Linked DNA regions of Arabidopsis thaliana. The protein of the gene in region 1 interacts with the protein of each later gene in a pairwise test. Each region holds a gene or a part of one and is shown in the gene's direction. Other genes may lie near its edges.

The links. Proteins that work in one complex are often made in the same cells at the same time.
Region 2: the proteins of SPP (region 1) and BTI3 interact in a two-hybrid assay, tested with the Arabidopsis thaliana proteins (one large-scale study listed by BioGRID).

What each region holds. Positions count from the first base shown.
Region 1 is NC_003071.7:934,272-941,865, forward strand, and holds SPP (signal peptide peptidase), read left to right. Parts: upstream 1-3,111; 5' UTR 3,112-3,282; coding exon 3,283-3,322; intron 3,323-3,630; coding exon 3,631-3,746; intron 3,747-3,840; coding exon 3,841-3,992; intron 3,993-4,075; coding exon 4,076-4,161; intron 4,162-4,420; coding exon 4,421-4,548; intron 4,549-4,687; coding exon 4,688-4,738; intron 4,739-4,854; coding exon 4,855-4,941; intron 4,942-5,040; coding exon 5,041-5,110; intron 5,111-5,224; coding exon 5,225-5,361; intron 5,362-5,460; coding exon 5,461-5,538; intron 5,539-5,722; coding exon 5,723-5,812; 3' UTR 5,813-6,280; downstream 6,281-7,594. Other genes in the region: AT2G03110 (putative RNA-binding protein), read left to right, coding at 1,161-1,541, 1,624-1,704; AT2G03130 (Ribosomal protein L12/ ATP-dependent Clp protease adaptor protein ClpS family protein), read left to right, coding at 6,473-6,805. UniProt on the Arabidopsis thaliana protein: Intramembrane-cleaving aspartic protease (I-CLiP) that cleaves type II membrane signal peptides in the hydrophobic plane of the membrane.
Region 2 is NC_003076.8:16,633,606-16,639,765, forward strand, and holds BTI3 (VIRB2-interacting protein 3), read left to right. Parts: upstream 1-2,423; 5' UTR 2,424-2,624; coding exon 2,625-2,826; intron 2,827-3,043; coding exon 3,044-3,224; intron 3,225-3,303; coding exon 3,304-3,445; intron 3,446-3,529; coding exon 3,530-3,599; intron 3,600-3,688; coding exon 3,689-3,867; 3' UTR 3,868-4,303; downstream 4,304-6,160. Other genes in the region: AT5G41590 (LURP-one-like protein (DUF567)), read right to left, coding at 10-291; CHX18 (cation/H+ exchanger 18), read right to left, coding at 4,949-6,160. UniProt on the Arabidopsis thaliana protein: Plays a role in the Agrobacterium-mediated plant transformation via its interaction with VirB2, the major component of the T-pilus.

The sequences.
Region 1 (7,594 bases):
AATCAAAGACTCTTTGGCGATTGCTTTAGCGATTCTTTGATTTGAGAACCCTAAACTCACGAAATAAAGTCGTATAATTACTCATCTACGATGCCCCGTTATTGCCACAATGTCGGCTGACTCATCGCCGTAAGTGATTGATTAACACTGTTTTGGCATATGTTGATTTTGACTATTTTCATATAGTTTAGGTTGAAAATTTAATTTTTTTAGTGAGTTTAGGTTGATATTTTTCAAATATCGTAGTTTGGGTATAAAAAACTGTCGGAAAATAGTGTGAGTTGATTTTAGCTATTTTCCCTTCATTAATAGAAAACATATATATACCACATAGCATCAATTCAAATATATATACCATATAGCATCAATTCAAATAGTAAATTTGACATTAATATCGCTTTATTTTATAATGTGGCTACGTGTTGTCACGACGCAAGAAAAATTTGAAAAGCCCTTGCTAGGCCTTTTAGATTCCTATAGACGTTAATGAGCCCAAAGACTTTCTTCATCTTTCACTACTCTTTTCAATTTCAAATTCCAAAAACCACAGAAAGAAAAAGACGGAGAGAGGCCGTTGCATTTTCCGGCGAGACGACGCTTCTTCGGACGGATTCACCGATCATCGGTTGTTTCATTCTCTGGTAACAGTTTACTGTTTTCGAGTTTTCCGTTTTCTAAGCAATGTTCAAGTACTATCAAGATTTATCGATCGGTTGGTTGCGTGAGAATTGATTTTCGTATTGATCTTCGTTGATTAGGTTTCTTGATGTGAGCTTTACATAATCTATCTATAGAGAAACGAAGAAGGATTTTGGTGTTATGAATGTTTGTTTCTGTTGCTTATTTGAAACCTAACTTAAACCCTAATTTTCTGTTTCGTATGTTCTTCAGCGTCCTCTGGCTTTGTGATTTCAGAACTTGTTTCACTAAATCGTTGCTAAAATGGCTCATTCAAGGAACAATTATGGTAAGAGATCTTGTTTTAGTTAGTTTTCATATTTGATAAGAGGTAAGAGAGTTTTTTTCTGATGATACAGATAATAATGGTGCTGGATTAGAAGATACTGTGTATCGTTACTTGTGTCTTGTGAGAAGAGCAGGGAGTTCTTGGGAGAGGTGGTGAGATTGCAAAATAGATTAGGTCTGAGACTAAAGCAAACATGAGGGTAAACGAGGCATTGCCTGGTTGTGATGAGCGTGTTGTGACTATATATTCTAATAGCGAGGAGAGAAATCGTATTGAAGATGACAATGAGGATTTTGTCTGTCCTGCTTTTGATGCTCTTTTCAAGGTTCATGATATGGTTGTTGTTGAAGAATTTGACGATGATGATGATTATAATGACAATGATGAGTATAGTGAGGGACAAACAGTTGTTACTGTGAGGATGCTTGTGCCTTCTGATCAAATTGGTTATCTTATTGGCAAAGGTGGACCAATTATTCAAACGCTGCGTAATGACACTAATGCTCAGATTCGTGTTAGAAATGATAATCTACCCATGTGTGCTTTGGCATTGAGTCATGATGAGCTTCTTCAGGTAATGTCTTCGAGATTTGAGTTAGTGTGTGTGGTTGTGTTTCGGATTTAGCTTATGAATGTTGTTGTTGGTTGACTTTCAGATAATTGGAGATCCTTCTGCTGTTAGAGAAGCTCTTTACCAAGTTGCCTTTCTGCTTTATAATAATCCGTCACGATTTTAGAACTACTTTCTGTCTTCCTCTAGTAGTACACTGCAACATCAACCTGGTAGAATTCTGATGAATCCTGCAGTAACGACCTCTCATAAAAATTGCTCGTGAGAATGAGGAGATGGTCCAAGTAATAAATCATGACCACCCTTTATTGCCTAGTGCTTGTCGATTTTGTGTGTTTGAAAGAGACCCTTAAACAATGTTTCTTTATCTTGTGGTTTTAGATAACAGGAAGTCTTGATGCAGCAATCAAAGCTCTTACACAAGTGATGCTGCGTTTAAGAGCCAATGTATTTGACATGGATCGTGGTCTTGTCTTGCTTCCAACTTTATTTCCTTATATTTCTCAAACAATATAGACTTCGAGCAAGTCTAGGCACAGAAAAGGCGAGAACCATCCTCATGGTTCAGAGGAATTTGCTAGGAATGAAGACTATGGTCAAATGGTATGATTGTCATAAAAAAATATATGATTCTGGTAACCAAATTTACTCATAGAGATTCATTTTTGATGATGTCTGTCTATTTTCTTCTTTTGCAGAACGTAAATTCCCCAATAAGAAACCGAGTTTATTGATCACCAAACCATGTCAAAAGGTTATCTTTCTATGTTCTAAACACTTAGATTCTGGAATATACTTTTTATAAAATACTTGGGCGTTTTTTTGGAATCCAAGAAAAAAGAGGATTCGAGTAGTTTTGCGCCTCAAGAATCTACAAATGCAGGAAGTTCTTAAAAGAATGATATATATATTTTTTTGTTTTTGTCATCTTCATGAAAGAATACAATGTTTCTTTCATTTTTCGTATTCGTATTTAACTATATTTGAGTAATCTTGTTCATCATTAGTGGTTCCAAAGCACTGTTATGAACTCGGACGCGTCTTTGCTACTAAGTGTGTCTAACTTGCAGCCAATTGTTCCAATGGTATGATCCACTTAAAAGTATAGTTGATTTTCATGTATTTTAATCAAATGGACCAAGACCAGTGGAAAGAGTCACATATAATCGGCTCCCTTCTTTTCTTTCCGTTTACTGTACTTCCATAAGTCAAATTTTGTTTAGATGTCACACTAATATTTTGTTTTTTTGTGTGTAAAAACTTACTAAAAGAGAAAAAAAATACTAAAAACTATACAATATAATACTTTTACATTGATTATTTATTAGGTCTTTAGCGAATTTTTGACATTGATTTATATGTTTCCAGTTTTGTTATCCGTTGAAGGAGAAAAGTATCGGTTACCATTGTATTGACTAACCATAAAAGAAAACAGATATGCATGTGTGATGTGGTGATGAATGCAATAATCAACCAATTAAAATGCGAACGTAATGTCATAGACACGTGAGCGTTACCAATGAAATAAGTCTGTCACGTAATTAGGTCACAGTCCCGTAACTTTCGTGGTCTTCGAGTATCTTAATTTTCTTTCCTTAACTCTTCTCTTTCTCTTCTTCTTCTTCTTCATCTTTTTTTTTTTAACAGATCTGGTGGAAATTTTATCTTTTGACCCCACCACTGGATCTCTCTATATACACATTCATCTGAGTAATAGAGTAAAAACGAAACACAAGAAGCAATTATGAAGAATTGTGAGAGATTTGCTAATCTCGCTCTCGCAGGTTTTTCTCTCTTTCACTCTTACAATTGTTACAATTCGTCTCGTGAATTTCAATTTTCGATCGATTTTTACGATCATGTGATTGTTTCGCGTTATGGGTTTCTTCTGATTGTGATTTAGGCTTCGAATTTGTTAACTTTTTCGGTTTTAGGTTTGTTCTTAGAATTTGCTGGAAAATATTTATTTTTTTGTTCGTTTTAGATCAGTTTGGTTTCTCTAGGGTTTAGGCTTGATGGGTGTGATTGATTGTTTTTGATTATGGTGTAAAGATTCAAAACTGAGTGGTTTTTGTTTTTGTTTTGGTTACAGGTTTGACATTGGCACCACTCGTTGTGAGAGTAAATCCAAATTTGAATGTTATTCTCACAGCATGTATCACTGTTTATGTGGGTTGCTTTCGTTCGGTCAAGGATACTCCTCCAACGGTAAGACAAAGACGCAATCAGATTGTTTTTTTTTATTAGTGAAACAATTTTCCAAATTCGATCTAAATTGTTTCTTTGGTTTGAAATGGTGTAGGAGACGATGTCAAAAGAACATGCCATGCGTTTCCCATTGGTTGGGAGTGCTATGCTTCTCTCACTTTTCTTATTGTTCAAGTTTCTCTCAAAGGACTTGGTTAATGCTGTGCTAACAGCTTACTTCTTTGTTCTTGGGATTGTCGCTCTTTCGTATGTCTTATCTAAATCATGCCTTTTGTTTTTTTATTTGTTTATCTGTGGTCAAGTCATGACACGGTTATGTGTGTTTGCAGAGCGACATTGTTACCAGCCATCAGAAGATTTTTACCAAATCCTTGGAATGACAATCTTATCGTCTGGCGTTTTCCTTATTTCAAGTGTACGTAACTAAGATTACCTTCAGTATTCTTTGGTAGCCATTTTTCTCATTATATAAGTTATGGGTTTGTTTGTTATCGTTTGCTTAGTGCTAGTCTTTGAATACTTATTTGGTTGATGTAATGATCATTCAAGATCCTAGGTGTTTGTCTCATTTTCAAATCTGTTTTTACTTTTCTTACTCTATCCAGTTATTGTTCTATCCTTCTGGTTGAGATGTGCTTATTTTCTTTGATGTCTAACACCTTTTTACTAAACAGCTTTGGAGGTAGAGTTCACAAAGTCCCAAGTTGTTGCGGGAATCCCTGGAACATTCTTCTGTGCGTGGTATGCGTGGAAAAAACATTGGCTGGCTAACAATATCCTCGGCCTTTCCTTCTGCATTCAGGTTACTTCCCTTGCACTTTATGGGAATACATAAACTCTGAAGCTTCACTGTTATAACATAATATTTAAGTTTAAAGTGAACTGGAGTCACTGTTGTTGAGTGTCTCTTTTTTTACTAATTAATGCCGTTGCCAATACAGGGAATTGAGATGCTCTCTCTCGGATCATTCAAGACTGGTGCCATCCTTTTGGTAAGAACTGCATCTTTTGAATGCTATTCTTGAAAACTTGTTTGGACTTCTAGATGAAAAGAAAATTCGTTTGAAAATGACTCAATCATTCGGTGTTTGTTATGCTTGACTTGCAGGCAGGACTATTTTTCTATGATATCTTCTGGGTTTTCTTTACTCCAGTTATGGTTAGTGTTGCCAAATCCTTCGATGCTCCAATTAAGGTTAGTAAAAATGCCTCAAAAGTACACACCATACCAAATTGATTCTGATTTGTTCTTAGTCAATTTTTCAGTAATCTCATTGTTACATATTTCTTTCAGCTCTTATTCCCTACGGGTGATGCTCTAAGACCCTATTCTATGCTTGGTCTTGGTGACATTGTCATTCCGGGTATGTTCTCTAATGCTTAACCCAATAGCTATATTCAGCTTATGGTTATGCATTCTTGAATCATATTTTTGGATATGATATGAATATAAGATATTAATTTTTGTTTTCCTTTAGGTATTTTCGTTGCACTAGCTCTAAGATTTGATGTGTCAAGACGTAGACAACCACAATACTTCACAAGTGCATTTATCGGATACGCTGTTGGTGTGATCCTCACGATTGTAGTCATGAACTGGTTTCAAGCAGCACAGGTCAGTTTTTGTGTCTTAATTGTTGTCATCTATTTATTGCAACCTTATTTTGGGATTTCTCTCTGATAGGTTTTTGTTTTTGTTTTGCCTTTGTTTCAGCCTGCTTTGTTATACATTGTCCCAGCCGTAATTGGGTTCTTGGCTTCTCACTGCATTTGGAACGGTGACATCAAACCGGTTTGTTTTCTAGTCCTTCTAGATTTCGATGTATCTATTGTTGTAAACGCAATTATGCAACCCAAACAGAAGAACCTTCCTGTTACCTTCTGTTTGCTTATCGTGTTTTTGGTTGTAGATTAAGATGTAAAGGATTAGTGAGCTTATGGTCTTCTTCTTCTTCTTTGTTTTGTTGCTGTTGCAGTTGTTGGCGTTTGATGAATCAAAGACAGAGGAAGCAACGACTGATGAATCAAAGACTAGTGAGGAGGTTAATAAAGCTCATGATGAATGAGGAAAAATCGAGAAAGAAGGGCAGAGGAGAAATATATACACATAAATGTGTCTTAATATATGGAACAAGAAGGAAAACAATTTTGTTTCCAAATGATCATCAATCAGTCCCTTCTAACCCCTTTTTTGTTTTTTTAGATTTTCAAACTTTCTTTTGGCCAAGACTTGTGTAAGTTACTATAAGTTACAACAAATTTTCTTTGACTTTTCTTTCTGTTTTATGTTAAATTCGTTAGGAGACTGGAAGTTATATATCATTTCGAACAGAATTCGAAATATGAGCTTTTTAGCTATTGTAGACAACGTGGTAAGGATATGAACAGTGAGAGGCAAAGAATAGCACATGATGATGATAAAGTTATGAACATAATCTGTGCTGAGAAAGGGACATTTTTGCTTGGGGAGCTATTTGGAGACAAAAAAAAGCTAGATAGAAACTCTACACTTAATGTTTTTTTTTTTTTTTTTTCTGACATCTAGTACAATTATTGCTTGGAGAGCAAGTTGTGTGTTTAATAATATATAACGTATATGTAAGTTGAATAAAAATGTAGAGAAAAATCTTAATGTTAAAAAAAAAGAGAGTAGGTTTGGGGTTTAAGTTTGTGATTAGGTCTAGAGCTAAAGCCAAGGAACAAGCACGTATCAAAGATCAAACAAAATGAGAGTACTGAGGGACGGCCAAAGTGGTGGTGGTGCCAATGAGGGAGCTAAAGCGGAGAAGACTGTGTTTGAGGTTAAACTTGAGTCTTTCGAGGCACGTGCGAAAATCAAGATCATTAAGGAGGTAAGGAGAATCATTGGTGTGGGTCTTAAGGAAGCTATGAAATTGGTGGTGAAGGCTCCTACGGTTTTGAAAACAGGACTTTCAAAAGAAGAAGGAGAGGAGGTCGTTGAGAAGTTGAATGCACTTGGTGCTGAAGCTGTTTTACAGACTAGAGTGAGTGATATTCCAAGTCTGTTTTGGAACAGTTTGTTCCATCTAATAAGCTGATGGATGATGATACCGTTAATAAGAGCTTATTAGCTCAATTAGGCTTTCTCATTGCTAATGTTTTTTTTTTATAAAGAGATTAACTAAACCAATGTATCTTTGCTTGTTTAACATGTATCGCAAGTCCTTCTTCTTGGCATAATAATAATCGATAAATTTGGGAACTTTGTTGTTATTCCATGGCTTTAATGATCTCCAGTGAGAGTTCTCTTACTTTGCTCATTTATTTGGCCTGACTCCACAGCACAACTAATTTGTGTTGATATCAAGATCTTGCAAGATATGCAAGATTAGAAACTGAAAAAATGTAGCAAACACAGAAAAATGTCATTGTACCTAAACACAAAGGTTACAAAACTAGGGACATACCAAAAAAAACAAACCTCCAACACTTTGTTTGCGTGTTGAAAGTTAAAAGACATATAACAATAGATTTTACCAAGAAGTGAAATATTCTCACTTGGAGATGTCAATATTTACATCTCCGAACTTAGGCCTAGGAGGATCCGTTGCCATATCCACATGACCCGACCAATTAGTTTACTAAAACAGTGTGATTGTTCATTTCCTTCTACCATCTTTGGTTGCTATCTCAAGTCAAATCTTGAACTTTTATTTCCCATCAAAAATATTCAGCTTCTCTGTTTCAAGCACTTACACTAATGGGCTATATGAGCCCATTTAAAGTTGGTACATTTGACAATGTGCGTGTCCTTTTCTTTTTTTTTGTTTAACAATGTGCGTGTCCTATTTAACATCGTTGTTTACTCCCAACAAAAATTAAAAAAC
Region 2 (6,160 bases), on another chromosome or scaffold:
TATATTTACCTTGGTACGATGCATGAGGAGGAGGGAGTTTCCATCTTTATCCATGAGGATGAGTTCCTCGGGTCGGGTTCGGGCATAATTATCGACCCGGTAAATCAAATCTCCATTCGAATCTATCACCGTGAATCCTTCACAACTCACCAGAAGCGATTTTCTCCACACCGTGAGTGTCGTACACGCTCCTCCAATATCTGCGGCAGCGACGGAGACTGTGGACTCTGTAGATGACGGTGCATCTTCACCGTGGACCGACCTCGACCGTTGCTTCAAGAAAGGGAACATTTTTGTAGTTTTGGTGTTCTTGGTTAACTATTTTAAGAGAGTTTTACAGATCTAATTAATCTCAATTCTCAATACAAATATGGTAAGGTTAGGTATACATATGAGATATATATATATAGATCTAATATATATGTGTGTGGATGAAAGATATTAGCTTTGTTATATTATATCATTGTCTTATTATATTATAATTTTTTTCTTCTTTATATCAACTTGCAAAGTTTTTAAATATCGCTACTTGATATTTAAATGCGACCACAAATAATACTTAGTGACAAAACTGTACTATTCTACAAAATATAAAAATAAGAATTTCACCTAAAAAGCTTTAAACGTTTTATTAATTATGAGTCAAAATTTTTAGTGTTATTTGAAAAATAATACAATATGATAAGATATTATACCATTCTATAAGTTAATTAGAATTTTTTTTAAGTTAATGAATACAGGTCATTAGATTTTTTTTTATCACATTACAAATACAAATTTAACGTACGTAACATTTACATTTAGTGGACTAGAACTCAAATCACCCTATTACAGCTTGCATATATAGTAAATTGTTTTTGTTTTATAAGTCCAAAAGGATTAGTCTAAATTACATTGTTTGGTTATCAAAGAAATTAAAATAAAAAATTAGATAAAATTAATCGAAAATGAAAACTTAACATGAAGGTTGAAATCTCCAAATTATTTACTCATCCTTTTTACCAAACTCAAATATGATATTTTTTTCTATACGTAAAACTCAAAATTGTATATACAAGAAATTTAGCTATCTAAAAATAACTATATAATAAGCCATTATAGTAAGCCACAATTTTGACCATCTACGATCTTTTCTTTTGTACGTAGTAAGGTTTGGTGCAAACTTTTGCAAGTAATTAGTATATAGCTCTTATGGATATGGTATATTCCTGATATGAACTCTGATTGGGTAATGATTAGCACTTAGCAAGGTAGTCAGATTTTTGGCTTTGGCACGCATGGGTTTCACTGTTTCAGGATTGAATTGGAATTTTTTTTTGATTAATTAATGTATAATATTTTATACAATATAAAAATATATTACTGTATTAGGTAAGAACTTTACGACAAAAAAAAAAAAATAGGTAAGAACTTTAAGATTATGCAAGGGTCTTAAAACGAGCCACGTAATCTTCTTAGACCCACGATAGTAGATTTTTGAGGTCTCCAAGAATCTCTTATCCTTTTTGTCATCGAATCTCTCTCTCTTTCTGAAGATATATTAAGAAACAAATCTCTCTTTTTCTTCGAAAAGGTTGGTTAGGTGAAGGACAATTCTCATCCACACGATTAGATGCATAAAATTATATATATAAGAAGAAAATCTAATTATATGAAATGGTGGAATTTCATGTCACACTAGACGACGAATCTTCCATATTAAACTCACTTCTAACACTGCATGTGTATGTAATTATGTATATGAATGAATATCCAAATAGAATAATATATTTGGACTAATCAAATTATTGGAAAAGTACATAAATAAATAAGTGAGCTTTCATTGTCAAACCTGATTTTGTTGATCTCTGGGTTTGCCATTACTCCAAAAAATCTTACCTTCAAGAGTGATGTCGACACAGTGGAGCACACGTGTTGTAACACGTGTCATGACTCAGCTCAAAATTGGATCCCACGGAAGAAGTTAGATCTCGAGGCCAAGAGACCAGAGTCATCAATTCAAACCCCACGTGCGTGAGAGTCACTGACTATTCTCCTCTTATCTTCCGGGTCTTCGAAATCCAATATCTCCAAAACGCAGCGTCTTGGTTAATTTTTGAGATGTCAATATATATAATCTGTGACCTTGTAATGTTTAATCAACAGGTGTATGATCATCTTTCATCTAGGAGCATTTTCATTCTATCAACATATTCTCATAACAATTTTACTATGCCTAACAATTTTTTATTTTTACTATGAAATGGATCAGTAATAAATGGGCCTTAATACTGTACCAACAATCCCATAAATGGGCCCAATGCTGGATCCTATCCGCCGACATCTAACGTTCCACTAACGGAGACGTTATCGGGAATATTCACATTAATTAACGACCGTTAGTTCCACGCCAAATATGTTACATCTGCTACAAAATAAATAGTTTGATTTTCCACCGTGGACGGTTACCTACTCGAGGCCCAGACCCGAATCAAACGGACTGGATTAAATGTTTTAAATCAAGGGGTGGGATTAAATCTGAAGCACACGCTTTTATTCGTCACAGTCTCCTCCCACACTCTTCAATCAGTAAAGAGTTTTAGGTTTTTTTTTCTTCTTCTCGGAGGTTTGTAGAATCAACAAAAATGGTGGAAGACCACAAGCACGAGGAATCGATCTTGGAGAAGATTGTTGAGAAGATCCATGGCCACGGTGACTCGTCTTCTCTGTCCGATTCCGACGACGATAAGAAATCTACATCGTCTTCGTCGTCGTCCTTCAAGTCAAAGATTTACCGACTTTTCGGAAGGGAGAAACCTGTTCACAAGGTTCTCGGTGGTGGAAAACGTATGGATCTATCTCTATTTCTTCACTTTGAACTCTGATTTTACTCGATTTTGTATCTTACATAGTGATTTTGCTCGATCTAGTGAATGTTGCTCTAATTTGAAGCTAAAATTGAGTGTATTTGAGTGCTTAATTGTCTGCTTTGCTCGAAAGTACGCTTAAATCTTGTGAAATACTCAGAAACTATGTTGAATCTGGATTCATTGTTTGCATGTAGCTGCTGATATATTCCTTTGGAGGAACAAGAAGGTATCTGGTGGAGTCTTGGGTGCTGTAACTGCGTCTTGGGTCTTATTCGAGTTATTCGAATACCATCTCCTCGCTTTTCTCTGTCACTTTGCGATTTTTGCTCTTGCAGCATTGTTCTTGTGGTCTAATGCTTGTACATTCATCCACAAGTATGTTCTTACAACATCCCTTATATGTTAAGTGTTAAGTATGAGATAACTGCCTGATCAACTGAGTTCTTATCCTCAGGTCAACTCCTCACATCCCGGAAGTTCACATCCCTGAAGATCCTATTCTTCAACTTGTTTCTGGATTAAGGATTGAAATCAATCGTGGTTTGACCCTTCTTAGGAACATTGCATCAGGAAAAGATGTCAAGAAATTTATCCTGGTATTGTTCATGTTATCTACCTCGATGCAAAGCGGTTTTCTTATGTTCCTCATAAATGCTAATACTTGCTTGCACATGTTTTAGGTAATTGCTGGCTTGTGGGTTTTGTCCATTATTGGCAGCTGCTACAACTTCTTGACATTGTTCTACACTGGTAACGATTCATTTACATCTTACTGCATTTAATCTGATAGGAATCATACTTGCATATCTTGATAACCAGCTTTTCTTTCTTGCTTCCAGCTACTGTCCTTCTCTTCACCATTCCTGTACTCTACGAGAAGTATGAGGACAAAGTAGATGCCTATGGGGAGAAGGCGATGAGGGAGATCAAAAAGCAATATGCAGTACTTGATGAGAAGGTATTGCGTAAGGTCATAAGCAAGATTCCAAGAGGAGCTCTGAACAAGAAGAAGGATTAAGGAATGTGAGTTACTCTCTCATTGGAATCGTAGTAATGGTTCAAGACATGTTTTGTTAGAAGCTGTTGGTTGATAAACCCTTTGATCTCTTGTTATTATTATGTTCATTATAAATTTGGGGGTTTTAACTAAAAATATTTAGATTATGAGAGAACACGGATGGATGATAATTATTGTTGTTAGTTATTTGTCTTAGTTAATTTCTCATCCTTTTAACAGCTCTCCATGATGGTATTCGTCATGTCAATTTTGCATCATGTCTGAGGATTGGTCCATACACATAAACTCAAATTGTTTCGTGGGTTTTTCGCTCTTCACTGCTACTGCGATCTAACTTTAGTTCATAAGAATCTTTCTTGTTTTTATTTGACTAATAATATTCTTCCCATTCCATCTCTTTCATCATCTCAACATCTTGTTCATAGGAAAAGCTAAAATGATTGGTATATGAACTAGGTTAAACGCAATTTGATAATTTTCCAAAAAAATTTGTTCATAATTCTTTTGCCAAAATTGCGATTTCACGATTTCTCGACAAAAATAATCACACAAAAAGTGGATTCCACAATACCAAACGCTTTCGGTATGATAACCATCAAATCTGGATAATTACTTAAAGTAAGCAACATACGTAAGGTAGACAACTAGGTGTTAATCACTATATATAGTTTGTAGTAGAAAACAATATCAAAAGTCAGGATGGCCGAGTGGTCTAAGGCGCCAGACTCAAGTTCTGGTCCTCGTAAGAGGGCGTGGGTTCAAACCCCACTTCTGACATTTCTGTTTTTAGTTTTATGTTCAATGACTGGATTTTTAAATTTATTATTTTTCCGATTAAAGTAGATAACTTTTTTTACAACAACCATTATTTTTTTTTTTGTCATCATTTAACCATTTACTTTCAAAAGCAAAAAAACTTAAAGATGAACAGTGACGACAAAAAAGAAAGAAAAGATGAAACAGTGAAAGCCAAGTACAGTCATTTTGATTAAACCGTATTCATTAACCAACTTTTCACTAACTATGGTAAACCAACCCCTGACCCGAACCGAACCGTTCTTGTTTTTAACCAATGATTCATTCAATCAGAGTCTTTATCCGTAGAAGTCAATACCTCCGTCTCAGCCGCACCCAAATCCGGAGCTATTCCGGTGCCGTTGTACTGCTGAATCACCAAAACCGATGCTTTTGTCGAAGATTCCGGCGAAATCAACAAGCTTCCTACAGGTCCAAGCTCCGGACATTCACTATTCTCCCTAATCGCCAATGCAATTTCTCCACCTGGCATTCTACCAACCAAAAACAAATTGCTCCGCCGCACTTCCTCAATCGCCGATCTAACATCCACGGCGGCGTTTTCAATCTGTTTCTCCACGAACTTAACCGATTCGTCCACCGAAGATATCTTCCTTATCTCAGACATAATCTCCTCATCCGATTTCAGATTCTTCACACTCTGATTCTCGTTGTTATTGTTACTCACTTCAACATTAACAATCTCTCCGACTCTCTCCGGCGATACCACAAATCGGAAAACAGTCAAAACAATTCCGGGATGCTCCGCCATACGTAATCCATAAGCCAACGCTTCACGATCATCAGGACCACCGAAGAACAGAACAACAACAGAGTAAGAAACATCTTGAGCTGAGACTTGACTTGAACCTCCGAGTCCACGGTCAACGAATATACCAACCGAACAAGGAGCTTGAAGCAAAACTCTCCGGTTAACCCAACGGTAATCGCCACGTGTAGTCTCTAACGAACCATCAAGCTGTTGATGCTTGTGAAACGGAAGAATCACAATGGCTGCTTTTTTTCTTACAGCTGTTGTGCAGATATCTTCATGAATATCAGACATTGAAGAGATTGCTGTCATTGGTCGGACATTGACTCTGCTTAGCTGTTGAAAAGCTTGGAAAGCAACTACTACTTGATCAGCGTCTGCGTTTACTCCTCTTCTGTTCCAAAACGGCATTCCGTTTTTCCGAACTTTATGAACCATTAGAATAGCTGATGATCTCTCTGATAGTTCCCGTAAGTGGAGAGCGTAAACGCAGAGCCCTTCGCCTTTTTCGATACCTCTTGATGCTTCTAGGAGGTTTATCATTGAAGGAATGCTTCCTGCTCCGTGGAAACATGTGAGGATTCGAAGCTGTGTGTTTGTGTTCTCTCGTTCTACTGCCCTGTGTTTGTATTCTCCTTCTTTCTTCGCTCTTCTCGCTGGTTTGTAGACTGCCATTACGACTGGTGTGGTGATGAAGGTTGTGAAGAGAGCCATTAGAACCATTAT